4 linked regions of the Diceros bicornis minor genome follow. The protein of the gene in region 1 purifies or fractionates together with the protein of each later gene. This does not show direct contact. Links are inferred from orthologs where the notes say so. Each region holds a gene or a part of one and is shown on either strand. Other genes may lie near its edges. The genes, in order: CDKN1B, CCND3, CCNE2 and XPO1.

What was found.
Region 2: the proteins of CDKN1B (region 1) and CCND3 purify together in Homo sapiens (affinity purification with western blotting; 9 studies listed by BioGRID and IntAct, counting the BioPlex papers as one, with this or other methods). This does not show direct contact. The link is inferred for Diceros bicornis minor from reciprocal best matches to the Homo sapiens genes CDKN1B and CCND3.
Region 3: the proteins of CDKN1B (region 1) and CCNE2 purify together in Homo sapiens (co-immunoprecipitation; 5 studies listed by BioGRID and IntAct, with this or other methods). This does not show direct contact. The link is inferred for Diceros bicornis minor from reciprocal best matches to the Homo sapiens genes CDKN1B and CCNE2.
Region 4: the proteins of CDKN1B (region 1) and XPO1 purify together in Homo sapiens (affinity purification with western blotting; 4 studies listed by BioGRID). This does not show direct contact. The link is inferred for Diceros bicornis minor from reciprocal best matches to the Homo sapiens genes CDKN1B and XPO1.

What each region holds. Positions count from the first base shown.
Region 1 is NC_080756.1:48,208,239-48,215,617, forward strand, and holds the start of CDKN1B (cyclin-dependent kinase inhibitor 1B), read right to left. Parts: upstream 3,005-7,379; 5' UTR 2,538-3,004; coding exon 2,063-2,537; intron 1,543-2,062; coding exon 1,421-1,542; 3' UTR 1,413-1,420; intron 1-1,412. UniProt on the Homo sapiens protein: Important regulator of cell cycle progression. Inhibits the kinase activity of CDK2 bound to cyclin A, but has little inhibitory activity on CDK2 bound to SPDYA. Involved in G1 arrest. Potent inhibitor of cyclin E- and cyclin A-CDK2 complexes.
Region 2 is NC_080753.1:23,496,686-23,503,803, forward strand, and holds the start of CCND3 (G1/S-specific cyclin-D3), read left to right. Parts: upstream 1-4,097; 5' UTR 4,098-4,215; coding exon 4,216-4,413; intron 4,414-5,290; coding exon 5,291-5,506; intron 5,507-7,118. UniProt on the Homo sapiens protein: Regulatory component of the cyclin D3-CDK4 (DC) complex that phosphorylates and inhibits members of the retinoblastoma (RB) protein family including RB1 and regulates the cell-cycle during G(1)/S transition.
Region 3 is NC_080760.1:14,116,573-14,123,517, reverse strand, and holds the start of CCNE2 (G1/S-specific cyclin-E2), read left to right. Parts: upstream 1-4,045; intron 4,046-4,099; coding exon of another isoform or gene 4,100-4,202; intron 4,203-4,500; exon of another isoform or gene 4,501-5,239; 5' UTR 5,240-5,265; coding exon 5,266-5,279; intron 5,280-5,377; coding exon 5,378-5,474; intron 5,475-5,552; coding exon 5,553-5,609; intron 5,610-6,557; coding exon 6,558-6,709; intron 6,710-6,945. Other genes in the region: uncharacterized protein LOC131419404, read right to left, coding at 3,489-4,045, 4,100-4,202. UniProt on the Homo sapiens protein: Essential for the control of the cell cycle at the late G1 and early S phase.
Region 4 is NC_080751.1:25,718,225-25,725,090, forward strand, and holds the start of XPO1 (exportin-1), read left to right. Parts: upstream 1-3,865; 5' UTR 3,866-3,954; intron 3,955-6,866. UniProt on the Homo sapiens protein: Mediates the nuclear export of cellular proteins (cargos) bearing a leucine-rich nuclear export signal (NES) and of RNAs.

The sequences.
Region 1 (7,379 bases):
CTTCTCTGTATGTCAAAATGGGGCCAGATCAAAATCCAGTAGGTCTGATTCACTGTGGCTCATCTGATGAACAGCCACAAGTCATAACAAAACAAGAGCTGCAAGTATTCAGGTTGCTTCAGGAAAATTTTTCATCCAACCTTCCCACTTCATCTACAGCTGTAATATAGAGGTTCTATAGTGCCATTTTGTATAAGTTCTGAAAAATATCAGATGTATGTGAAAAAGTCATATATATGACATTACGACTTAAAAACACAAAACAACAAAGTTAAAAACAAAACCAACAAATCCCTACGTTCTTTATTTTTAAATTTTTATAAATGAGGACTTAAGTTATTATCAACATCTATTAAAATCTCTTTATATGCTAGGCTATGAGTGTATTTTGGGGGAAAAAAGAGGTCACAGTCCTTGTTTATAAGAAGTTTACAAGCTATTAATATATGTAGTTTGATCATTAGGGATAGCCAATCCAAGTAAAATTGGGGGCTAAATTATTCAAATTAGCTACTCATGTTGATCAAATTTTAGTAGATGGAAAAATCTCCACTTCCCTTGTGCGGGGTAGACCTACCCTGCCAGCCCTGATAACTACTATCCATTTCCCCTACAAATATCCAAATCATCCTGTTACAGTGCGATTAGCATACACATGCTGACGTGTTCCTGGATTGCTTACTCTGGCAGAGTTAATTTAACTTCTGCTTTGCAACTTCAGTGTAATCAGAAATTCTGTAGGAACTTGAGTATTTTTGAGCTTTCCATTTTGCTTTTTTTAAATACACAGCTTCCTTCTCTGTCCCCAAAACTTGTCAGAAAACAGGGAAAGTAACAGTTTATGAAAATGATAAAAGAATGCGATATACCTCTCTATTCACATTTCTAACGGTTTGATTAACCAAATATGAGCCGTCTGGACCTAACTTTTCCCTCAAAATTTAAATTTATTTGCCATTTTTCCATGTATGGCTCAAAATCTGTTACTGACTCAACTTGAACTCTGGGAAATGAATTCTCATGAAGTGGGACTGAGGCATACCCCAGTTCTTGTTCAAATGGGGAAAGAACCTCTTGTTCCCAACATTTTTAGTGGACTCAGGGAATTGACCTTCCTACCCACCGGGCCTTGGTTATAAGTACTTGTCTGGGACACTTGCTCTAGTAATTGTGTGTGTCAAGGGAAAATGACCTCAGGACGTAGAAACTGTGAAGAATTACAGTAACCCCACAGTGAGTCTCAGCCTTCTCCATTCCTGCTTTTTTGACCTCAAAAAATATAAACAAAACAGAAACCCGCAAGCTCTAATCTGCCAGCAACCACTAAGATCAGGTATCTTGGGGTTTGAAAGCCTACGACTTCCTGCAGTCCAATTCGGGTGTTAGTTATTTGCTCCTAGTAATCAACCCACCGAGCAGTTTACGTTTGACGTCTTCTGAGGCCCGGCTTCTTGGGCGTCTGCTCCACTGAGCCCGCGTTCGGGGAACCGTCTGAAACATTTTCTTCTGTTCTGTTGGCTCTTTTGTTTTGAGGAGAGGAATCTAAGGGCAAGAAGGAATTTTAAAAAGAACACACACAATCTTTATTAGAAAAAAAACAATGGCTGACAGAAGTTGGCACAATAGTCAGGGCATGAAAAACCCACCACCTCCACCCACAATCCTGGATCCGTCGTTCCCAGGGGCCTTGCAGGGCACAAAACGAGGTTGTTTTCACATAACAGAAAGTGTCTTCTACGCCCCAAAGCTTTTTGCTCTCCATAGCGAAGGGGAGGCCGTTGATAAACATCCCATCGTTGTCACATACCTACCCCTGGCTAGCCAGGGGGGACTGCGATGGTTTCAGTTAGAGAAATGATCAGATAAGGCAATCTCAGGCTTCTGACTTAATCGTAAACAGACCAGCAGTCAGCTAGACAGCATTGAAAACCTAAGATTAGGAAAGTTCGCTCCCCAAAAGCTACATCAGAATACGCTGAAAAGAAAGCCGAGGTGAAGACCCTCGAGCAGGCAGAGCGGTGCCCCGGACAGACAGACATTTAGGCGTTTGCAGGGTCTTTACCGTCGGCGGCAGGCCGCTTCCTGATCCCAGTGCACGGCTCCGCTAAGCCCGTCGGGCTGTCGGACGCGTCAGTCTTTGGGTCTACCAAATGCGTGTCCTCTGAGTTTGCCTGAGACCCGATTAAAGGCACCGCCTGGCGGTTCGCGCTGACATCCTGGCTCTCCTGCGCCGGCACCTTGCAGGCGCCTTTGGGTGGCCGCGGGGGTCTGTAGTAGAACTCGGGCAAGCTACCCTTTTCCACCTCCTGCCACTCGTATTTGCCCTCCAGGGGCTTGTGATTCTGGAAATCAAAATTCCACTTGCGCTGGCTGGCCTCTTCCATGTCTCGGCAGTGCTTCTCCAAGTCCCGGGTCAACTCCTCGTGATTCACCGGGCCGAAGAGGTTTCTGCAGGCGGACGGCTTGGGGTACTCCGCCTGTCGGGCGTCCATCCGCTCCAGGCTCGGGCTCCCGTTAGACACTCGCACGTTTGACATCTTCCTCCCGGGTCTTGACGCCCGCCGCTCTCGGGAAACACAACCGAACAAAACAAGACGCCCCGACCCGGCCCGGACCCCTCTTACGAGCCCCGCGACTGCCCTCGGAGCGGAGAGCAACAAACACCCCCGAGAGAGCGCCCGAGCGTCAGGAGCGCGCCGGGCTGGGGGAGGGGGCGAGGGGGAGCCCCGGCCAGGCAGCCGCGAGCGGCCGCCGCTCAAGCGGACGGGCGAGCGGGAGGGCGGGGAGCGCAGCGGCGCGGAGGGGGCGGCAGAGCCAGTCCGGGTCCGGGCCGCTGCAAGCCCGCGGGTCCCGCGCCCCGAGCGCCTGTCCAAACCTTGCCGGCGTCCGAGTCGTGGAGCGGCGAGAACGTGGGGAGCAGGGAGGGGGAGAAAAACACCCCGAAAAGACGAGCCCCCTTTTTTTAGTTGCCCAATATGGCGGTTGAAGGGAGGCTGACGAAGAAGAAAATGATTGACACCGCAAGTCTATTTAAACAGAGGAGGAGATCCATTGGTTGCGGCGCCGGGAGCCGCGCCCCGACGAGGCTGGCGAGCGCGGCCTTAAGGTGGCCCCGGCGCGGTTCGGCCGCCTCCCCGCCTCCCCGCGCGCCGACTCCGAGAGCGCCGGCCGGAGATTGGCTGGTCGCGTGATTGCTGGAGGTGTACCGCTGCCAACAAACCTGCTCTGGCTGGCCTCGGCGAAATTAAAAATGAGACAAACAAACTAGCCAAACGGCCGGGAAGCTGGGGAGGGGCCTGGGCGGCGGGGCCGGTGGGGCCTTGGGTTCTAGTCCCGGCGCTGCGCTGCCTGGCGCGCGGCCGCTCGGAAGCCCCGACCTCCCGCTCCTCGCCCGGGAAATGAAGGGGCTGGACCAGATGATTCCGAAGCTTTTCCCCGCGCTCGCCGAGCTGGGAGTGCGGGCAGACGCTGGGAGCTCTGCCCCCAGCTGGGCTCTCAGCCGTGGCCCCAACCTCTGGCACTGGGGGGGAGGCAGGGAACATTCCCTGAGGGGCTGGGAGCCCCCTGCCTGGGTGACTTGGCTGGGGATGAGCAGTGGTGAGCTCCCCCTTAACCTAGAAGTCGCAGCTGTTCTAGGGGAGGCAGGGGGCTTAGGGAAGAAGCCTAGGCGAACGGCTTTCTATAAATTAGCCTGGAGTAGGCGCAGCATTTATAATGTATTCTAAACCCAAGCTCTCCCTCAATAAAAATAAGAAGGGAGTTCAAAATCAAAACCTGGTCTCCCAAGTCCCGTAGCCGTCTCAGACACATTGAGTTTTCAAAACGAGGTTACACCCCTGGCCCGGCTTCTTGCTTCCCGAGCACAGTGAAGGCCGTTGACATGGGCTGCGTGTGGGAACTCGTCTCCTCTTTGTATGTTTCAATTCTTTCCCGAGTTGTAGCAGTTTCCTCTACCTGAGTCCTGCCGCCAAATACAACAGCTCCTTCCTTCCTCTACCTTTCTCTCCCCCCAGACTCGCTGCTTTAACCCACCCAGAACAACATTCAGATGCAAGTGAGTGCTTTTCGAGGCCTCCAAGTCGTTGAAGGGTGAAAACAATCTGCAACTCCAGATTATGAAGTGATTTATAAAATCACCACACCATGTCCTCACTTCTGATATTATTATGTGGGCATTTCTCTGCTCCCCTTTGCAACTTGAAATTTACCTGTCCATATGATCTTGAGCACGGTGGTGGAAGTTAAAACGGGATGGTCAGGGCTATGATATCTGAGACAGAGCTCAAAGGGTCTTTAACTGCCTCCCCACCCCATCCCCAATACATACAATCTTGGTTTGGGCCCAGGTTAATACATTTTACTGGAAAGTAATCTCCTGCAGTTCTAATAGTACACAGCAACAATGTTTTCTTGTGCATCTGTGCTACACATGAGTTTGATTTTTAACTTGTTTTCTTCACCACATGTTTGTCCACTCTCTGTGCCTGCCTCACCTCATACTCTCCAGAAGGTAAGAGCTGGGAGGGGCCCTGGGAACCCTGTGGTTCAACCCTCTCTTTTTGCCACTGAGGAAATTGAGACTCAGAGAGGCTTCCTAGCCAGGGACACATATCCAGTTGGTAGCACCGCCAGGACTAGACACAGGTCTCCTAACTCTCAGGCTGGTTCATTTTCTGTTCCTTTCCTTCCTGATGGCCCCAATGGGTTCAGGTTTTTGTCTGGATTCGCCTGTGCTGTCCTCTGCAAGTCCTCCTCTCTTATAAATGATTCAAAATGGCTCCTTCTCCTGCCCTGGGCTGCCTGCACATGTCTCCTTGATATGGCCTGTGGTCACTGATGTTTAAAGGCAGCTGTCTCCAGCCTTTGGTATCACTATACACTAGTTAAACTAAAATGCAGATTCCAGGATGAGGTGATAGCCAGAGAGCAGTGAGGGAGGCAGTGCCCAAAACATGTTTCAAAGTCAGGACTTCCTACCTGACCAATAGAAAATATTTCACCTGCGATCAGAGTAAGATGTCTCATCTTAATTTTTCTACATTTAATGCCCCACTTAATTTACTGGATTGGAGAAGAGGGGGAGAGGAACAGGAAAATTAGTGTAGGCCTCAATACCATAATTTATACCCTATTCCTGAAATTTGATCATTGTTGAAATTTTTACATAAGTCCTAGACTACACAGGAATTCTATGTTATACATAAGCATAAATTCACAGTCATAAATACACAAACTACCATGTAAATGGAGATATTCTAGAGTATTACACCTTGTCACAAAAGTTTGATTTTATTCATGGAATTAATATCTTACATAAAAGTAGAAAATTAGTACTTCTATCCCCTACACACCCTGACTCTTTCTTCAACTGGTGTGTAGGAGCACCATTTTGTTGCTTTGTTAAATCTTGAAAAGTGGAGCACGCCACCTTAAGACGTCTGGCTGCCGGCTGAAAGGCTGTGCTTACATCGACCTTGCTATGATCTAAAGTGTTTTGTTTACAGTCAAGACACCGGAGATCTGTACAGCAAATAATGAGAAGGCAGGCGTCTGCTGTAGTAGCAACGAAGCGTGAAAAAAATACTATGGAGTCCCCGAGGGAAGAGGGAACGCGGAGATCAGAGCGCCATCCTCCTGCGGAAAGTAGGCGGCTGCAAAAGAGTAAGCCAGGGAGAAAAATTGCAGATAAACAGTGTGAAGGCGGAGCTTCGGTAGAAGACAGAACGTTCCACTTGCCCTGCTCTAAAATGGGCTCTGCTTCCCCAAGACTCAGAATCTAGTCCTGGGTGATGTTTTCGTTGTCGTTTTCACTCCTGGTAGTTTCCTGCTGAGAGCTGAGAAGTGTCACATAAGACACCCAAGATTTCTGTGTTCTTCACAAGCTGGGGAGATAGGCAAAGACCAAAATAATTTAAAAGAAAACACCTGTGTGGTAGACAAGTGTCCGAATGGAGTGGCTGGGCAAGCCCGCCCCTCAGATGCAGTCGGCGGGTGGGGGGTGCGGGGAGGGAGTTATACAGCCCCTAATGTTTCTGCACAGGTACACACTTCCTTGCCCAGTTGCCCCTCCCACCACAAGCACACAATTTTAATCCTTCCTTGAGGATGTTTATAACGAGGCAGCTTCTCTCAATTTCACTATTCTCCTAAACCGACATATTTTTAGAGTTTGGAAATTTCACAGTCATCTGTTTTTGACAGCTTTCACTCAGTTTAATAAATATTTATTGAGTACCCTCTATTAACTTGCTTATTCTTTGTTTCTTTCAACAAATATTTATTGAGTGTCTTCAATATCCCAGGCTCTGGGGATTCAGAAGTAAACAGATTTAAAACTGGGAAGAAGCTTACATTCTCGTGGGGGGAGGGGAGACAGAAAATAAACACAGTAATACATGAGTAAAAGATACACTATGTAAGGAGGTGATACATGCTGTGGAGAAACAACAAACAGGAGAGAGGGAAAGAGACTGTTTCCAGGTCCCAATGTGAACAGAGAGGTCAGGGAGCGCCTCACTGAGAAAGCGACCTTGGAGAGCAGCCCTGAGGACTTGAGAAAGTGAGCCATGTGGATATCTGGGGAAAGAGTATCTCAATAAAGGGAACAGCAAATTCAAAAGCTCTGAAGTGAGATCTTGTCTGATGTACTCAAGGAACAGCAAGGAGCAAGGGGAGAGTGGTAGCAGGAACATCAGATCATACAAGACAATGTAGGCCACTGTACGGGTTTTATCACTGACTGAGTGACACTAGGAGGTGTTGCCCAGTGGCTTGATGTGATCTTACCATGTGTAAAGCATTCCCCAAGGCATTCTCAGTGGGGAGTGAAAGGACGACTAAGTCACAGTCCCTGCCTTTAGGGAATATAGACCCTAGATGGAGAGACAACCACATGCACAAAAAAACCACAGAAGTAGAAAGTAATCCATGGAAGAACATGGTACAATGATGGAGTACAAAGCAGGGAGAAAGAGAAAGCCTTCAAGGAAATGATATATGAGTCAGATCTTGAAGAATGAGAAAAATGTCAAGAAGATTGTAAAGATGTGTTGGTAGGGGTAGTAACTGGGAGATGGGATCAGACAGGGCAGGCCATAGATGGCATGCTAAAAAAAAACATCTGTTTTATTCAGTAAACAATGGGAACTGATGGAGCTTTTGGTGAAAGGAAGAACATGATCACTGTCCATAACTTGCCTCCTGAACAAGAGCAAGCCTGGGCCCTGAGAGACAGTGTCTAGGGGCACAGCTAAATGAAAAGCTGGGTAGACAGTCCCATTATGGTGTTAATCCAAAGGGAGCTAGTTGTTGGGCAGAGCACAGGGGTGAGTCAGGAGGGCAGAAGCACAGGCCATGAGACCAGGATGAGAGGGTTTGGA
Region 2 (7,118 bases), on another chromosome or scaffold:
AACAACAAAACTTTATTGTATGTACTCTTGAAAATGCAGATTTTGGGGGCCTCATCACATACTCAAAGAATGAAAAGCCCTGAGGCAGGACTCAGAAATCTGCATTTTTGGCAAGCTCTTTGGGTGATAAAAAAAATCATCTGTAAGTATTTCCTACATTTTCTTCTAGTACTTATATAACTTTAGGATGGGGAAGGCATGATTCAAAGGCAAAAATCATTAAAGAAAATATCAGTAAATAAGGCTACATAAAAATAAAAACCTTTTATTATTTTTTTTAAATTTGTAACCACTTTTATTTTATTTTTTTATATTTATTTATTTATGTATGTATGTATTTATTGAGGAAGACCAGCCCTGAGCTAACATCTGTTGCCAATCCTCCTCTTTTTGCTGAGGAATATTGGCCCTGGGCTAACATCCGTGCCCATCTTCCTCTACTTTATGTGGGACGCCACCACAGCATGGCTTGACAAACGGTGCATTGGTGCGCACCCAGGATCCGAACCTGTGAACCCTGGGCCGCTGCAGTGGAGCGCGCACACTTAACCGCTACGCCACCGGGCCGGCCCCATAAACCTTTTATTTGTTAAAAAAAAAGAACTTCACCATGAACCAAAAATGAGACGGAAACAGTGAACTAAAATTTGTGACAAAGAAAAAAGTATGAAAAAGGGTTAATGTCCTTAAAATATAAAGAGCACTTATAAATCAATAAGAAAACAAACATCCCTATAAAAGAATGGACAGAAATATGAATAGGTAATTAATTTACCTAAGAAATGTAAATAATATGTCAAAATATTATTACCAATAAATCACTTTTCATCTCTCGTTTTCTTTCTCCATAAAGAAAAGTGGTATATAGGCCGGCCCCATGGCTTGGCGGTTAAGTGCGTGCACTCCGCTGCTGGTGGCCCGGGTTCAATCCTGGGCGCGCACCGATGCACCGCTTCTCCGGCCATGCTGGGGCCGCGTCCCACATATAGCAACTAGAAGGATGTGCAGTTGTGACCTACAACTATCTGCTGGGGCTTTGGGGGGAAATAAATAAATAAAATTAAAAAGAAAAAAAAAGAAAAGTGGTATATATATATACAATGGAATATTATTCAGCCACAAAAAGAAGGAAATCCTGCGATTTGCAGCAACATGAATGGACTTTGAGGGCATTATACTAAGTGAAATAAGACAGAGAAATACAAATACTGTTTGATTTCACTTATATGTGGAATTTAAAACTCCTTACTCATAGAAATAGAGAACAGATTGGAGGCTGTCTGAAATGGAGAAAGGTGCTCAAAAGGTACAAATTCCCAGTTATAAGATGAATAAGTTCTAGGGATATAATGTACAGCACGGTGACTATAGTTAACGATACTGTATTGTATATTTGAGTGTTGCTAGGAGAATATATCTTAAAAGTTCTCATTCAAGAAAAAAAATTATAACTATGTGAAGTAATGGATGTTAAACTTATTGTAATAATTTTGCAATGTATACATATATTAAATCATTATGTTGTATACTCTAAACTAATACAATTGATATATGTCAATTATATCTCAGTAAAGCTGGGAAAAAATTTTAAAACAATGGTGATTAACTCTCTCATCAAAGATACACAGTCTGGGCCAGCCCGGTGGCTTAGCGGTTGAGTGCGCGCGATCCGCTGCTGGCGGCCCAGTTTCGGATCCCAGGCGCGCACCAACGCACCGCTTCTCCGGCCATGCTGAGGCCACGTCCCACATACAGCAACTAGAAGGAGGTGCAACTGTGACATACAACTATCTACTGGGGCTTTGGGGGAATAAAGGAGGAGGATTGGCAATAGATGTTAGCTCAGAGCCGGTCTTCCTCAGTAAAAAGAGGAAGATTAGCATGGATGTTAGCTCAGGGCTGATCTTCCTCTCTCACACACACAAAAAATACACAATCTTCTAACCTGAACAGTCCTATTCGATAATTCTGAAAGTAAAGAAACACCTTCCTTCAAGACAGATCTGGTTTCTGGTGATGTACTTACTTCAAAAGCTAGATTTTTTTAGTCTTCCTGCACCTTAAAAACCTCTTACACTTCATTTTTGCCTCCCCATAATTTCATACCTAATCTTTATAATTTTAAATCTATTGTTCTTTTTAATGAAAGAGTGCAATGCAATGAATAATTAGCTAAAGAAACTTCATACTTATATTTCTGAAGACAGGAGTAAAGGACTTACAAGATTAGACAAAGCACGTGACACATTCATGTTGGCACAACAAGGGCTCTTGAATTAAAAAATATAAACCACTTTTCATCTCTCCAGTTGGCAGAGTTGTGGTTTTTTTAAAATAGATATATAATGTTTGTTCATTAGATTGGTTCAGCCTTTCAGCAGGGAAATTTGGTAATAAGAATTGTATCAAAAGCCTTAGAATGTTTCATAACCTTAGATTGAGAAATTCCACTTCTAGAAATTAATTCACTTCTAGAAATAATCATGAGTCTGCACAAAGATATTACCACAAAAATATTTTACATATTGTTTCTAATAGAGAAGAATTTCCACCAATACAGATTTGGTAAAATGCATTATACATTCACCGAATGGCATACTGTGTAGCCATTAAAAATAATGTTGTAGCATATTTAACGACATGGAAAAGTGTTAACAGTATATTTTTTATTGACAAAAATAGCTTACAAAACAGTTTGCGATCTCATTTTGAAAAATATGTGTTTACTTATAGAGCAATTTTAGAAAAATAAACATTGACGTTTTAAAGAGTTATCTCTGGATGGTGAAATTGCAAGTAATTATTATTTTCCCTTGTTTTGTGTGGCTTATCTGTATTTTCTAAGTTTTTGCAATGCGAATGAATATTTCCATGATTTGGAAACTACAATAAGATTTATTCTATAAAAAAGAACAATTCATTGAGAAAATGCTTAACATAGAACTTGCCTTTTCTGTCCAGTGTCATTTCTCTAGTAACTCACTTCCTTAGTGTCTCCTCCCTTGGGAGGACCCCAGGAGAGGCAGAGATCCCCAAGGCCTCCTTCCATTGGAGCATAACTGGAGGCCTGTGGTCTGCCTCTTGGTCCTGTGGAATCCAGCTTTGGGGAAAGTTTGGGAGGTAGAAGAAATGGCAACTGGAAGATTTTGTAGAGTCTGATCAAGAAACTCCTTCAGAGAGGATCTAGTTTCTCCGCCCACTCTTTCCTCAAACAGAAACTAAGGCGGATTTCAGGGCTTGTCCAAGGCCACAGAGCCAACTTAATGACAAGGTGAGGCCTTGAATCCATGGCCTTTCCGCCCTGTTGTGTTTCTGTAATGTGCTGATTTCGACCAGCCCTTCTCACGCTTTAATATGCGCAGGAATCACGGGGATCTTGTTAAAATGCAGATTTTGATCCAGCAGGTCAGGGGTGGACCTGAGGGTCTGCATTTCTAACCAGCTCTCAGGCGGTGCAGATCTTGCTGGTCTGGGGATCCCAGTTGAAGGAGCAATGGCGTAGAGCACAGATTCTGGAGGCAGACTGTCGGCTGCCCAGTCCCAGCTCTGCCGCAGACTGACTGCATGATTGTTATAGTTACTGTGCTTCAGTTTCCTCGTCTGCAAAATAAGTGTAATACCTAACTCATGGAGTTTTCGTGAGGATTTAATAAGTTATTACACTTTAAGTGCTTAGAACAGTGTTCACTAAGAACTAGTTATTTTATTATTTATAGTCCCTGGAGCAAGCAGTGGGTGAAGTAGGGTCTGACGAATGAATGAATAACCATTGCAGAAAAGTTCTTTCCTGGGCAACTAGAGACAGAGAAGCAAAATGGGAGGGCTCTTTGCTGGGGAAGAGGCCCACCTCCAAGATAGTTCTCTCCACTGGGTGGTCAGAAGGGCCCGGAGCGCCCGGAAGCCGGCCGGCCCGCGCCGCGCCGACCAATGCGGCCGCGGGGAGGGAGGGGGAGCGCCCGCCAGCCCTTTCCGTCTGGGCGCCGGCAGCCCCGCCCCTTGGAACGTTGCGACGCTCGAGCATTCCACGGTCGCTACCTCGTCGCGAGGGGCGGGGCGCCTGTCAGGGAAGCGGCGCGCGCGCCGGCGCGGGCGGGCTGGGGCTCGGCCGCGCAGTGCCAGCGCCAGCACCAGACCCGCGCCCCGCGCTCTCCGGCCTGCCGCCTGCGTTCTGGCTCGCGAGCCCGCACTCTCGCCCTGCCTGTGCGCTGCCCGAGGATGGAGCTGCTGTGCTGCGAGGGCTCCCGGCACGCGCCCCGGGCCGGGCCGGACCCGCGACTGCTGGGGGACCAGCGTGTCCTGCAGAGCTTGCTCCGGCTGGAGGAGCGCTATGTGCCCCGCGCCTCCTACTTCCAATGCGTGCAGAGAGAGATCAAGCCGCACATGCGGAAGATGCTGGCGTACTGGATGCTGGAGGTACCGCCGGGACGGGTCTCCCCTCCCCCTCCGCCCCTGCGTCCCCGGCTCCGGACATCCCGGTGCCGCCCTATAGGGACATCCTGGTCCCAACAACAATCAACAAGATGCTTCGGTGGTCCAGACCCCCGGTTTGGCCTTCCACTCGGGCACCCTAGCCGGCTGCCTCCGTGGTGACCCGTTCCCTTCCCCAGCCCTGACTCTGACTGCCAATCATTTGGCACCCTAACCAATCCCCTCTTCGGGCCAGGAAAGCGGGACAAGAGCCACCCTCTCCCCTCCGGCTTCTCTCAGCGTCTCCTACTTCCCTCCCCCGCCCGATCTTCTCTGGAGTGCGCGCCTGGAAAACCCTGGGCTCGGCCGCCCCCGCCCCAGAGCCGGTTCCTGTGTCTGTCGCGGGGTTCTGGCGGGGAAGGCGGTGGGGGTGGCGCGCGCGCTGTTCCGGCCGTCAGGGAAATGAAAAGTGCGGGAGGCAGCGGCAGGAGTCTCCTCCCTTCCCTTTGGGTGTGTGCAGTGGGTGGTGGTAATGGGGGTAAGGTCCCAGCTCTCTGGCTAACATGGGTGACTCTTCCGTTTCTCCCCCTCCCCCCCGCTATGGGGGAGGGGAGTCTCAGTTTGGAATCCTTATTAAGGAAAGGAGCCTCTGGCGTCCCCCACCCCCCAGGGGAGGGGGAAGGAGGCAACGCGGAGGAAGTGGGGGGCGTCACCTTGGGGAGGACGCATCCTCCTCCGTATTAGTCCTTGACATTATAAGTACACTTATCCCCCTCCCATTTTTGCTCTCCACTCCATCTCCCGTCAGCACACCCCCCCCCCCTTTAGTACTGCTGCGTTTCCCACGGCCCTGCCCAGAAGTGACTGTGCCCACCCCCCCCAGGTATGTGAGGAGCAGCGCTGTGAGGAAGAAGTCTTCCCCCTGGCCATGAACTACCTGGATCGCTACCTGTCCTGCGTCCCCACCCGCAAGGCGCAGTTGCAGCTCCTGGGTGCGGTCTGCATGCTGCTGGCCTCCAAGCTGCGCGAGACTACGCCCCTGACCATCGAAAAACTGTGCATCTACACCGACCACTCTGTCTCTCCCCGCCAGCTGCGGGTGCGTGCATGACTCCCCCCACCCCCAACACGTACTGCCTCCTCACTTACCAGGAAAAGGAAAGCTAAGGCCTCAGAGGCTTTCTGCCCCCTGGGGAGGGAGCATGGCTACCAGAGGGCAGAGGCTATGTTTTTGGACAAAAGATGGGGCTGTGTGGTGTGATGGTTAGGGTAGCCCCAGCCCCAGTGGCTTGAGCTGCTGGCAGGAACTAAATCTCCTTCTCCTGACCTCCAGGGGGTGCCATTCCTTCCTGGTCTTTCCCCCAGATCCCAACAAGTCCAACTGCATGTCTACACTCCTAGTACTTTGCCTCTGGGTTTACACAGCCACCATGAGTTATTTATTGGCAGTAGCAGGACATGCCTGTACACCCCCACTGGAGTGGGGGAGTGGAATGTGCCTCATGTGGGGGAGGGGGGCTGCTTTGGTTGAGTCTTGATCCCAGTGTGGACTTTGTGATTGAAAAGCCTCCCAGAGCAGATTAAAGCCAGGCCCTGATTGCTCTAAGGAAGGGCCAAGGAGTTTCATCCTACCTTCTTTCCTTCCCCTTATATCCCAGAAGAGACGGCTCCTTCCTAATCCTCCATTCCCTGTCCTCATTCTGAGGAACTTGAGCAGCTGCTTTGGGCCTGGTAGAACCATCTCTCCCTTTCCCCCTTAGCCAAAGGCCAGAGCTGAGGGACAGACAGGGAGCTGAACTGCAGCTGCTTCCGATGTGATAATGATGCCCCCTCCCCTGGCCCGCCCACTCTGACCAAGGTCTTTCATAACCCTGTGGGGAGCTGCTGTCACTCCTGTGGTTTGGGAAGTGGCTCCCTGGGCCTCTTGCTGGGAACTTGGGCTGGGCTCTTCCCAGGGCAGGAGGGCAGGAGGGCAGGAGGGCCCCGGGTTCTCTTTCCCCACTGACCCTGGAGAGGAGGTGGCAGAGCTGCCTGGATCTGGAAGAGGTTATTCGGGGCATGCAGATCATCTCCTGGGGAGGCCTGGGGGAGAGGGTGGGTGAGCTGGCACCTTCCCCCACCCTGCTCTCTGTCCGCCAAGTCTTCTGCTGACCCTGAGAGGAGTCTCTGGGCCCCATCTCCAGGGGAGGAGGGCAGCATGCAGGCTGCTGTGATTGGCTGGCCAGGAAGCCAGGGTACTGGGGCCCCCGACTGCTGCTTGTCGAGGAACAGGATTCCTCTTCCTGCCAAGTAGCTCTCCGAGATGGGAGTAGGAGGCCAGAGTTGGGAATCTGGGAGGCCCCACAGCTCTTTGTGATGAATCTGGTAGTTTTTGGCAAGTCTGAAGGTGGAGCTGGTTTCCAGGGCTGGCGACCAAGATGTTTCCAGAGGGGTTTGGGCTGGAAGGTAGAAGGGGACTTCCTTTTTGTGAAAAGACTGGGATGGTATGTGTGTCTTTGTGTGACGGGAGTTTTTCAGAACAGGCAAAATGTACTCTTACTCTTCCCCCACTCCCTCTGCCTGAGCTGGGGGTGGAGCGTGCAGATGGCTTCCTAGAAGGTCAGAGTTGGACGGGATCTCAGAGAACTCCAGTCAGTCCAAATCCTTGTGCAGCAGAGAAGGTTGAGGCCCAGAGGAGGAGGGAAGGGTCCTGCCTCAGCCTTGCACTGAAG
Region 3 (6,945 bases), on another chromosome or scaffold:
CCAAACCCATAACCTCATCTAACCATCAAGAAGACATCAGACAAATTCCAACTGAGAGACATCCTACAAATCACTTAACCAGCACTTTTCAACACTGTCAAGCACAGCAAAAACAAGGAAAGTCTGAGAAACGGTCACAGCCAAGAGGAACCTTAAGGAGACATGACATCTAAATGTGATGTTTGGATCCTGCAGCAGTAAAGACATTAGGGTAAAACTAAGGAAACCTGAATACAGTACGCACTTTAGTTAATGCATCAACATGGATTCATATGGTAACAAATGTACCACACTAATGTGTCAATAAATAAGGGTGAGGTGGTGGCGGAGGGTGGAGGAGTATATGAAAGCTCTGTTCTACCTGCTCAATTTATCTGTAAATCGAAAACTTTTCTAAAAAGAGTCTATTACTACAAAAAAGCCCTCATATTAATCGGGAATAATTCTCCCACCCATCACTCTAACCTAGAGAATTAAAGTTCTCTGATAGGATATCCTATGCATAATTAAATTCAGTATTTACCAAGGTCCTACTATGTATGCCTCTGAACTACTCGGTACTGGCGACAAAAAGATGAACAAAACAATGTCCAAAGCCTAGTTGGAGATAAAAGACATTTTAATAGGTAATTATCGTCCTGTGAGGTAGCATAACTAGAGAACAGAGAAAAGAGTCCAGGAAGGCTTCACAGAGGAGGTTTGGCAAAGAAAAGGCACAGAAACAAAAAATAGGTGGGTTGGGCCTGATTTTTTTAAACCTGTGCCTCTAAGACTCTTCCTGGGTTTTTTTTCTTCCTTTTTTTCTGAAAATGAAAGCACTGTAGAGGCCAATAGTTTTATTTACCACGATGTTTCAACTTTGCATGTACAATGGGGAAAATATACTTTAGAAAATGCCAAAATTTCTAAAATTATTACAAATATAAAGGAATTTCATACATTTCAAAGGAAGCGAATTTTAAAACGGATGAGTGGGAAAAGAGGGAGCTAAAAATGAACATATAAAAATAGAAACAAAAGATAACATATTGAAAGATGATGCCTAAAGTAGGTACCCAAAGGATGACTACATAAACAAAATTCTGGGAAACTGTAATTTTATAATTCAGCTTCCTGTTTTGTTCAGGATCCTTAAAACCACTTAATTTCTATGCGTATAAGCTAGTAAGGCGGGTAGGCAGGAGAGCGGAGAGCTAGCACTGAGCATCGCTCTGTGCCAGGCGCACATGCGAGAGAGGGTCTCTACACACATGATCAAATTTAATCTTTAAAACCACCCGTAAGGGTCTGGCCCAGTGGCGCAAGTGGTTAAGTGCACGTGCTCCGCTGCTGCGGCCCAGGGTTCGCGGGTTCAGATCCCCGGCGCGCCCCTACGCACCGCTTGGCTTGTCAGGCCATGCTATGGCGGCGTCCCATATAAAGTGGAGGAAGATGGGCATGGATGTTAGCCCAGGGCCAGTCTTCCTCAGCAAAAAAAAAAAAAAAAAAAGAGGAGGCTTGGCAGATGTTAGCTCAGGGCTGATCTCCCCACAGACACACACAAAAAAACCAACCCTTAAAATGAGTGTTTTGCTGGCCGACCGGGTGACTTATCGGTTAAGTGCGCCCTCTCGGCTACTGGCAGCCGGGGGTTCGGATCCCAGGCGTGCACCGACGCACCGCTTCTCCAGCCATGCTGAGGCGGTGTCCCACCTACAGCAACTAGAAGGAAGTGCAACTACGACATACAACTATCTACTGGGGCTTTGGGGGAAAAAAAAAAGGAGGAGGATTGGCAATAGATGTTAGCTCAGAGCCGGTCTTCCTCAGCAAAAAGAGGAGGATTAGCATGGATGTTAGCTCAGGGCTGATCTTCCTCACAAAAAATAAAAAAAAAGAATAATAATAAAAATAAAATTAGTGTCTTGCATCTTTTCTGGAGGCATTGGGGCACTTGCAACGGAGCAGGACTGGAACCTCGGTCCATCTGAGAGGTAAACCCAGGTTCTTTTTAGTTCCACTTGACCACTGACCAGGTACTTGGAATATGGCAGAATTCACCCTGTTCGTGTCCACACAAAGAGGACTCGGGATTGTTTCTAATTTCTCCTTTACGATGATTGCACTCGGTTCACTTTATACTCAAGGGCATTGACTAAAGTTCATTCCTATAATTACAGTGTCTTGTTTACAAGTAATTTACTCGTTAGCCCAGTGCTGGGCATATAATACTCCAAGATTAATCCTACAAATGTTAATAGACATCCCTGGTTTTCAGTATATTTTGATTATCAGATGCACTCATTTAGGCCACCAGTTTTGCTTACGCTCAGGTAACACGCACTTGCTGCAAGACCTCCCTTTTCTAACCTTTGCATCCTAACAACGTTTTGAGGTGACTGCAAAAGGGAGGCAACGCTTCCCCTAAGGAGAGAGCCATCAGAAGCATTATAAATGGTGTGAAATTTCTTGGGACTGACAAAATTCTGGGACTCTTCTGAATCTATATCACCTTGGGCAAGACTTTTACTATCTCCTCAGGCATAAATTTGGGAGAAAAACAATTACTTTGCCGGTGTCACCACACTGTTGTAAGAATCGAAAGAGAAACTGCGAACAAGGACTCTGCCGGCCCGGGCGGCCCGAGGAGCGCTCGTTATTTCGGGGCTCTGAGGCCCGCACGGGCGCAGCGGCACAAAAGGCGCGGGGCGGGGACCCGGCTCTGTCCCGGCGCCGCCGCCGCCTGGTGCATCTCGGGAAGGGCTCCCGCCGGGCCGCGACGCGGGGCCAGCCCGGCGGCTCACTCGGGGCCAGGGCAGAGGGACGCACACGGCCGGCCCGCGCCCGGAGGAGTGCCGCGGGTTCCAGGAAGCCTTTGCACGGCTCCTCCACCCCGGGGGCCTTTGTTCCTGGAGGCGTCCCCCGCCCCACTGCTCTCGCTGCAAAACCTGTTCGCGGAGTATCATCGGCCTGTCCTACTTGGAGATGTCCAGTCTGGGGCGCGCTCAGGGGGCGTTAGAGGCAGCGAGGGTGCCCCTAAGTTTAGATATGGGGGAAAAGAGAAGGAAATGCATCGGACCCACCTCCTGCCATTATAGGTCGGAGGCGGGCGGCTCCCTCCCGCGCGGGCAGCTCTCGCGGGCTCCGCAGGGCGCGCTGGCGGCGGCGGGGCGGGGCGGGGCGCGGCGGGCGGGCGGGCCCGGAGCCGCACGTGGTGGGACGGTACTCCCCGCTGGACCCGGCCCCTGAAGAGCCGGTGCTCTCGCGGGGAAGGGGAAAGCCGCCCTCGGCCTTGCTCTGGAGAGGCGTCTTACCCTTGGGGCCCCGGAATTACAGGTTGGGAGGACAGGAAGGGAGGGTGCAGCAGAGCGTGAGCGTTTCCTGCGCGGGGACTACAGAGTGGGAAGCCGCCGGGCAGCGGCAGGGCGGCGGGGTGCAGAGTGACCCACCCACGGGGAGGATAGCCCGGTCGGCGGGACAGGGAGCGGGGAAGCACGGTTGATACGCACCTCGGCCTGCGGGCTGCAGCACAGTGCAAGTAGGCATCCCGGAGCATGGCTGCCCTGGGGTGCCACAGCGCTCCCGGTGGTCCCACAGGCCCGACGGGTGGCGCGGGGGGACACACGTGGCCGGACGCGCGCCGGGCTGTGTTTACATTCTGCAGCCGCTCCACGTTGTGCTGCCGTCCTCGCCTCCCATTGGCCAGCTCTCCAGCCGAAGCTGCGCTCCTCCCGCAGGGGCGGGCCCTTTTGGTCCCCGCGCCTCTTAGGAAAGCACCCGGTTCCTTCAGGCCTTGGCGGGACAGCCAGGATGCGCCGCAGGATGGCCACTTCCTGGCCACTCTGTGCTCGCCCAAGCAGGCACAAATTGGCCGTACGCCGGGCATGAGCCGCGGCCTGACGCCCCTGCGATCGGGATTTGAAGGCGGGAGGGGACAGGAAGGTACTGGCGGGAGATGCGGCAGCCAAGCGGCAGGGAGCCGAGCCGCGGAGGAGGAGCCTCTGAGAGACTCCCTCCCGCCGCCGGGCCGCGCAGGCAGGCGAAGTGGAGCGCAGGTGAACGCGGACTCAGGGCCTGGGCGAGCGGGTCCTGCAGCCCCTCGGGGTTGGCCGGAACGAACTGAGGGCAGGGCGCGGGGCGCGGGCCCGCGGGGCGGGGGCGGGCGCGGGCGGGCGCGCGGGGGAGGGGAGCGCGCTGTCCGGAGGTGTCAGGCTGAGGCGCATGCGTGCGGGGCGGGCCTGGCCCGGCCTATATATTGGGTTGGCGCCGGCGCCAGCTGAGAGCCGAGCGGTAGCGGGTCTGGCGGTGAGGAGGTGCGGGGCGCAGGGTGGGATGCGGGAGGAAAGAAAGCCCCCTGAGCCGATCGTGCCGCGGGCGGGAGCCTGGGGGAGGAACAGTGGGAGGGCTGAGAACTAGGCGGCTGGGGCATGGGTCCCCGCGTTCGGTCCCTGTCAGGACTCTTGGCAGGGGGCCGGGAAAGCGGCGGGGGATGGAGGGATGCCCTTGAGTGGGAGGCCACGGAAAAGCCCCTCGTTCTAGGGGCTTCTCTCTCCCAGCCCCATTTGGGGAGCTAACCCTAGGGAGAGAGGATGGGGGTCTGGGTGCCCTTCACGGGGAGAAAAGCTCCCCGACCAGCCCAGTTTTCTCCTTTCTTTAGCTCTCTTTCCTTCACTCCCACACCCCATCTGGAGTCGGGGTCCCGGTGCCCCTTCAAGCGACAGGCAGAGCCCGGTGAGGCTGGGAAGGAGGGAAAGGAGACTGAAGGACGTGACACAAGTCTCAGTTCCCTCCGCCCTCTGCTTCCCCGCCGGCGCCGCTCTCCAAATTGGCGCGGAACCGGCTTCTCCACAGCCTTTCGCCTCCACAACCCCCTCTCCCCGCGGCTCGTCCAGGATGGGAGGGGGGAAGTGGGGGCGCTACCCAAGCCCCACTCGGGGTGTACGGGGGACAGGATGGAGGACACAAAAAGGACCCATTTGGGGGAGATCTGCCTCCCTGAGCGTTCCGGGTGCTGAGGGTGCTTTGTAAATTTTTGAAGACACTTGCTGCACATTGGCTGACCATTCAGTTGAGGAAATGCAGGCATGTGTCGAAAATTAACACCATGAAATAACTAACACAGTGCAGAAGACAGCATGGTAAAATGGCTCAGGCCGTCTCCTGAGGGACTTGGCTGTAACTTCTGAATCAGCGTCTAACTGGCACTTGGAGACATGGATGACAATGTATTTGACCCTGGTTTTTCCTACCTCCCCTCCAGAGGTTGCATACACCTGAAAGAAGAGGATGTCAAGACGCAGGTAACGTTATTTGTCTTGGAGATATGCTTCAAAGTTAGCTGCTGCCTTTGAAACTCATGACTTACTAATTAAACTTCCTTTTAAAAAATTTACTGTAGTAGCCGTTTACAAGCTAAGCCCCAGCCCCAGCCCAGCCGGACGGATTCCCCCCAAGACGCCCAGATAATTCAGGCCAAGAAAAGAAAAACAGCCCAGGTGAGTTAAGAGGAGAGGGAGAGAGAGGAAATTCCTTGCTGGGACCTTAGTTTACCAATGGTCTTTTCTGTTTTCCAGGATGTCAAAAAAAGGAAAGAGGAGAAGGTCACCAAGAAACACCAGTATGAGATTAGGGTAATGCAGAACTGGGCTGGGTGGATTGGAGGGAAACAAATGCAGGACAAATAAGAATAGAATTGGGTTATTGCTTGGCAATAGAAAGATTCCTGACACTTTTACTTTTAATGCCCCTAGAGGTCAGCAGGAAGGCGCTTATCTTGGGGTAGTTTGTATGTGCCTGAATCCTACTACAGCTGCAGAGTAAGTTGCCTTGAAGCAGCTGGTTCCTCTTTGTAAATCCCTCCCTCTTGGAGCTGCCTGGTGCACCAGGGCCCGCCTAATCTGTCCAATGTACTGCTCTTTGTTCCCTCTCTGACTATAGTGAAGGGTCCTAATAGCTGCTCCTTGGGACATAAATAGGATTTGAAGTCACTGACAGACTGGCACCCAGCCCTGTGCTACCTATTCTTTCCTATGTGTTATACAGAAAACACTTTGGTTCTCTTTGAAAGCAGCATTGATTGGGGAAAGGGTCCTTTAAGTATTTAAGTAATTGATTACACTTGATTCCATATTTAAGGTTGTGCCTTCAAGTATTCTCAAGTAAGGGAGCAGGCTTAACTGGGAAAAAAAAGCTTTTTATAAAACAAGGTGCCCTTGCAACTGTTGCTAAAAACAGGGAGAACTTCAATTTTATAATCTTGGAAGTGATTAGTATTTGACTAAAGACGCATTTTATTGTTATTCCTACCCTCCCCCAATACTTCATTGTATTTCCAGAATTTTTTGTTGTCTAAAACATCCTGTTACTCTTTATGAAGACTGATATGAGCTATATGGCTTATTCATAAAATATGAATGTTGAATTAACTAGATTGTCAGCAACGTTAGCTAACAGTGGTGTTTGGTGGAAAACTATAGACTGTTTAGAAATACTAGCTTCCATTTATGAAAGACCCAAGACAAAAGCTGGTTTTGTATTGCATGAATAGATATTCTTTTTATTTTTTTTTTAAATGACAGAATTGTTGGCCACCTGTATTATCTGGGGGGATCAGTCCTTGCATTATCATTGAAACACCCCACAAAGAAATAGGAACAAGTGACTTCTCCAGATTTACAAATTACAGATTTAAAAATCTTTTTATTAATCCTTCACCTTTGCCTGACTTAAGGTAAGAAAGATTTCAGTAATTTAATGTCAAAGATTAAAATTGTACTGATTTAATATATGGTACTCCTTTGAGTTATTTTTGCCTGCATTATAGAATAGAAAAACTTGTAAAAAATTGCTTTACTAATATTTAAGTGTATATTTTATCTCAGAGTACTGCTATTTGCAAATGATATGAGTATTTAAAACATTGGTTCTATAGTTATTTTCATTTGCTTGCTGAGCCTTATCAGAAGA
Region 4 (6,866 bases), on another chromosome or scaffold:
TGATTATTTGTGTATTCTTTGAAGAGCTCACCGTCAGTGGAGATTGTCTTCAGAGCCAAAAGGTCAAATTAAAACACAAACGTTGCTTATTTGACTCTAGTGTGACCTTAATAGCAAATATCTGTGACTTTGATAGGCAATAAACAGGTACTGTTCATATATTGTAGTGAGTATGTAAATTGGCACAATGTTTTTAGGGGGCACCTTGGCAGCACCTATCACAATAACAAATATACATGGGCTTTGACATAATAATTCCACTTTTAGAATGGTAACCTAGTGATATATTCACATTTGTGCCCAAAGATAAATGTACAGGGACACTCACCGCAGCATTGTTTTTAAGAGGTAAACTGGAAATAGGCTCATTGTCCTCAGTAGGGGAATGGCTGAATCATTTATGGTACTGAGAAGATGGGGAAAGCTAGGGGCTGTTACCAAGGATGAGGTGGATTTATACATTCTGACCCATTAAGTAAAAATCAAAGTCACTGAACAATATGTATAATATGATGTCATACATGTTGAACAAAACACAAAGCAAATACATTTGTAAATGCATAGAAAATATCTCAAAGCATACACACTACACCCTTAATGATTATTATCTCTAGGCAAAAGAACTGGGGAGACATATGAAGGAGACTATTACTTTTTACTGTAGATACTTCTTTCTCTATTGTTTGAATTGTTAACCATGATCATGTATTACTTTTTAAATTAAAAATAATTTAAAAAATAGAAATAAGTGACAAGTGGTAAAAAGGAATTTATGAGTTTGTTTCTCTTATTTCTGATGAATGTTGTTTCGTGACACCATGTGAACTAGTAGAAAGAACACAAACGTGGGTTCTAATGTTGACTCAACTACTGTGTGGTGGTGTGTACCTGTGTGCATGTGTATGTGTGTGTAACAGAGGGCAGGGTAGAGCAAGAGTGAGATTTGCAAAATAATAATTGTCTTACAGGGTTGCTGTAAGAATTCAGTGAAACACTGTACAAAAAGGTCTCTGTTGCTACACAACAGGAAGGCACTTAATACAGTTTACTTACATTTCCTTATCCATATCTGACTCCAGGTTTGAAATCTGTTTGATTCCAACAAATGAAGGTAATAAAAAAAATATTAGACACATGTCAGACCTATGTTCCGAATGTGATCCTGAAAACACAGTGCTCAAACATAATTATCTGCTCCTGTCACTTCTTTTTGCTCTTGTTAATAACAAGTTTATATTGAATACTTCCATTTTGGCTAACTCTAGGCAAAAAATATTTACATCTGATTCACTATGGTCAAAGAGATATGACCTCCTGGGGACAGGAGTTAAAGCGGCAAGGAAAAGAGCCAAAGAAGGGGATAGCAAACTGAGACTATTCGAACTTGACAATCCACAAAGTGCTTTATGGGTCACACTGCTCCTTCATATCCCTTTGATCCTTACGTGGATGAGACAGGCATGGATGATAACAACCTCATTAAACGGGTGAGAAGGAAACTGAGGCCCAAAGAGGTGAAGTGACTTGCCCAAGGTCACACTCTGAGCAAAGCCATGGCTTACTCCCAGTTTTTATTCCTATTATTCTGCCATCTAAAAATCAGTGGACTGTTCCAAGAGCTAAATATGTAGAGTGGAAAAACTTTTTAAAAAACAGGATAGCCTCAGTGTTTCTGGTAATAGAATGTAAGTACTCTAAATGATCAGTATATATCATACGTATTATGGCTTGATATTATTCAGTTAGGCAATGAATAAAAATCTTAGGTCTGAAAGTCATCCAATATCATTTTGGTGAATCTAGGCATTAAGTTACTGGGTTTTTTCCTTATTGGAAGGTGAGGTAGTTACTCTCGAGCGCTGCTTTGATGTTAGCCATTACCCATTGTGAGTGAAGACTTGCTGAAGTAAATTGTGTTGATTTAAGAAACCATTTATCAACCTCTTGGTGGCACAATGGGCCTAGAAAATTTTGGAGGTCTGCTTACTGTTTCTTAAGCAAAGAACAATCAGTAAAGCTGATTTGGAGGGCACCTGGGGACAAACAAGAGAAAAAAACATGTGAAAGGCCACGTGCCTGTGACTTTCATAGAAAATACTATTTGGTGATGACGAAGTATGTGATAGGGCAGCTCTGCTGAAAAGAAAAACCGTGGGTAGGGGCAGATGAAGGGCACCAGGTGGGAGGTAGTTTACCCACCAAAAACATGCGATGTCAAAAAATTAAAAAAAAAAATGTGATGTTAAACCAATTACAGGGATTTTAGTGTCTTAGTTTTTAGGAAGGTTGGTTTTTGAAGCAGCCAAATTCCGGCTCGGGGAGACGCTGAGTTAAAATTTGAAGGACTATTTAGGTGTCTTTTCCAGGACTCAGAAGATCCCGAGGCGCCAAGAGTGCACGCCCCACACCTCACCCCAACCTCTTTCAGGGTTATTCTCACACTCAACTCCCCGGCCCGAAACCCAACTCTTTAAATTGGATTACAGAGGTCCGGAGCCTACAACTAGCCTCCGATGTGTTCTTTTGGATCCTTTTTTCCTCCCCTCCCCAAAGAAAAAAATAACAGGGTGTGCCGTCCCTTTGCGTACCGCGGCCCCCATCCGAGGGGCGGGTCCTGATCCCGGCGGGCTCAGGCCCCGCAGCTTGGCGGGAGCCGGCGAGGGCGGGCCAGCGCGAGTCGGAGGAAGCCGAGCGAACGCTGCCGCGCGCCGCGCTCAAACTCGCGCCACCACCCGTTCACGAGCTGCGCCCCACCCTCTCCGTCACCCAAGGCGCCCAGCCAATGAGCAGGCCGGAAAGGCCGGGCCTGCGGGCTAAGCACTGGGAGGGGGAGCGGCGGGAGGGGGACGGGAAGTCGAGGGCGGGCTTCGCTTGATTGACAGCTCGCTCAAGCCAATCCTCCGCGAGGCTTCTCTTAGCTCCCTTCTCCGCTCTGCTCAGCTCTTCGTCCCACCTCCTCCTCCACCACCCCCCTCCTCACTCCTTTTTGACCCGCCCCTCTTCCCCTCCCCCACTCTGCGGGCAAATCGCTGCTGGAAAGAGGCGGGGGCCGAAGCGGCGGGCTCGTGTGGAGCCTTGAGATGGGACTGACGGGCGATCTGACCAATAAAAGGTAGGCTGATGGCGCGGCTGTGGCTGGAACCGGCCAATGGGCGGGCGGGCTGGGGGCGGAGGCCCAGGTTCCAAACGCTCCGCGGCGCCATGGGCTGAAAACTCAACCGAGATGGAATCTCCCAGTCTGAACCGGTTTCAACCGGTTCCGAGTTTGAGGCACTAGGAGGAGGGGGAGAAGCGGCTGCAGCGGCCGCGGCAGGAGCAGCGGGAGCTACAGCATCAGCAAGAGCAACAGTAGCTACAGCCCCGGCGGCGGTGCCTGTTCCAGTCTTTGCTGCTGCAGTCCGTGCAACCACCCAGAGGGGGAGGGGGGAACCACCAGTCGCTGAGAAGCAGGAGAAGGGGGGAAAGTTTAGGCGAGCCTGGGTGGGGGGGCCTAGCGCCGGAGCCGCGTGAGAGAGGGAGCCGTATTTTGGTAGGGGGGAGTCGGACTGCAACTGGCAGCAGAGCGTCCCCCGACCGTGTGGACTCTACACCCCCTACTCCTGCCGCTCCTGCTGCCGCCTGTGGCTGGAGGGTCCCCCGGGGGCTGAATCTTTGGGACTTGACCCCGTTCCCCTCCCCCTTCCCTCACTCCCCGGCCAGGCGGGAGCATTTATTCCACAGATTAATTCCCCTTTTGGGGGGGGCGGGTGGGTGTGTGTGTCGGGGGGAGGTTCCCTGAAATAGTAAATATTGTTGAGCTTTTTTTGCCCTTATCCTCTTGGTTTTTTTAATTTCCTTTTTTAAGGTGGGAAAACTGTGAAACCCACCTTGATTTCCTCCCCTCTCCCCCCTCCCCACCTTTCCTCGCCCTAATCCCCCGACGAGGAAGGAAGAAGCAGTTGGTTCAATCTCTGGGTAAGTCGACTGTGTCTTCGGGGCCGAGGGTCGGGCGGCGGCGCGGCCGGGCGGGAGGAGGCCGGCGTGGGGCGCGGCGGCGGCCGCGGGAGGCGAGCCCGGGAGGCGGCGGCGGGCCCACAGCCGAGCCTGCGATTGAATGGAGCCGCTTCTGCCGCTGGGGGATGGAGGCGGGGAGGCGGCCGCGGGAGGGGAGCGCTTGCTGGGTCATTCGTGTGTGCGGGTGGCGGTGGAAGAAGGCGAGGGGCGTGAGAGTGAAGTGGGGCCCCGCGCGGGGGTGGAAGGGCTTCCCCAGCCCCTGGGCTGGGGAGAAGTTGCGGTGATTTCAGGAACATTTCTGTAAATTATTAGGAGTGGAAGTTTCCAGAAATATTTAGTGCAGCAGCATTGAAACGTCCGCCTGCATCACGTGGCCCCTCGGTGGAGCGCTTGGGATCGGGGGAGGGAGGGGCTGCCGCGTCCCTGCTCCTCCTGCAAGGAACTCGGAATCTTCCTGGTTTTTGGCAGAGTAGGATTAGAAGTAGGAAAGGTTAGTTATTTTTCAGGGATCTGCAAATGGGGTTCCGTGCTGTAGTTTGTTTTCGGGGGCTTGAGCGTGTTAAGTGATCGAATTATTTACTGCTGGCATTGTACAGCAGATGATGCCGATTCTCCTTCATTCCGATGTCTCTTGAGTTTGGGGTGGGTGAGAGGAAGTGGTATAGTAGAGGAAGCTTTCAAGATTTGCCCAGCCCGGACCTCCTGTGATCACGCAGAGGCCATGCTGCATAGAGAATGGGGCGGTGAACTTCAGGCGCCTGCTCTAAATGCCTCCTCCGAGTATGGGCGGGGTGAGTGCGTGCTCCTGTATGCTATAGTTAGAAGTGCTGCAGATCGGTTCGGGTGGGAAGCGAGGGGAGGGCGGGCCTTACTGAGGTGTGTTTCTACTGAATGGAGGAGGCAATTGGCCACACACCCAAATAGCAGCCTCTCTCCTTGTAGCGACTTGTTTTTTTGACCTACTGTGTAGTTAACATTTAAGCAACGGTTATGATTTTCTGGTTTGGGGATGGGAGCTGGCAGTGTAGCTGCCTGCCTATTCAGTCTGAAGTGGCAGTGAAGGTATTTTGGTAGTCATTTGTAGAGTCACCACATTGCTGGGTAATCCCTTGTATATGCTATCCAGTGAGTGGATTTTAGGATTGAGTGTCCCAAGGAGAAAAGAAAGCGTTTGTGGTTTCACTTCTCTCGCTATGGCTGTTTGCTATCTGCCTGATTGTATATCTTAAGCGTGTGGGACAGTGCTGTTAGTGGAAAGAATGTTTTGTTTTGGAAGCTCTTTGATTTGGGGGACTAATTGTGCTTGGCATTGACCAGAAAGCCGCCATTTCTGTCCTACGTACAGTTCAAGAATAGGTAGGTCATTTCGAAGATAGCCGCTAGTTCTAAGGATGGCAAACTTATGTATTTAATACAAGCTTCTATTCTAAACCTGATTTTTCACAAGAATTTAGCTCGAAGGACTCTGTAAGGACCATATACTTGAAAATGAAACTTTACAGAGTCACTTTATTTTTTTATTTTGGCCTTTCAATTATGATAGGGCTAAATAGAAAAGTTCGTTCAAATTTTAACCAAAAAAAAATCGAAAACTTTTGATAACGTAGCTCTTGGTGCTTTGTGTACATTGCTTTTCAGCCTCAATTTTTAAGATTGTTCTGATCTTTTAAAATTGTATGGTACTTGAATGGGGGGAAATTTACCCATTTATTTGTGGAATATATATTTCCTTTTTTATATTAGTATTTATCCTTTTTTATATTAGTATTTAGAGCAAAGATTTTTGTTGTATTTGTCACGTATTCTGTATTAAAAACATTTAAAAACTGCTGTAAAATATTTTGAAATCTTATCAGTTTTACTGTCTATGGATCAAGCCTTAAGAGGAATAAAAATCCTTGAACTGTTTCTCGATTTTTACATTATATATAATAAAAAAATTAACTGACATCCTCAAGACTTCTAATCTGTTGTAATTGACATTATCAAGTAAAACATTTGAGTTGAAATTGCTGCCATTATTGTTAAGAACATCTTTAAGCTGCTATAAAATGGCCAAGAAATAACATCTTTTTCCTATCAAGCTACTTTGTCCAGGCACCATGTAATCAAATTAGCCACCCATTTCCTGATCCTGGAAGGTTTTTAAGAGGTGGAGAAGTGGAGATAACCATCTGATCTTGTTGGGTCTCCCAACAGTAAACCAGAGGTTCTTAGCCTGAGGTTTCTTGCGTGGCTTTCAGAGTGTCCTGAATCTTCTGTAATTGTATACAAAATTGTGAGTTTTTTTAATTTGGCAGGAGCTATCATTTTCCTCGGATTGTAAGGCGTCTTGACCCAAAAAAGGTTAAAGAGTACTGATTTAGCCCGTCAGACTTCAGTGGCACTGGCTTGAAGAAAAAGCAGAGGAAAGAGTTTTATAATGCTGGGCAACAAAAATGTGAATGTGTGCCAGCACTTTGGAATAGAGTCCTCTTAAAAGGATAACATTGCATATGAACCAGTAGGTTTTAGCCAGTACATTATTTGAGGTGAAGAAGCTCATTTTTCTGTTATGATAGAATTTGTTTTTGTTTGGGAAATAGTTGGCAAGCTTTTACAGCTTTTTACCTTGCCAGTGAATACCTGGAAATTAAAAAAAAAAAATTGACATATTAGCATAAAGGTTTTTTTCTAGACTATATTCAAGGAATTTGTACACTTGTGATTTTAATCCCCAAGTTCATTGAGGGTTGAAAGAAACAAATATAGATGGTTTAATTGAGTGTAGAAACTTAAGTTCTGTAGAAGTTAAGGGTACTAGATTTGTTAGACAACTTGTTCCTGCTAATCATTGCTATATATATCATAGGAAAACTTGTATACCACGTTTA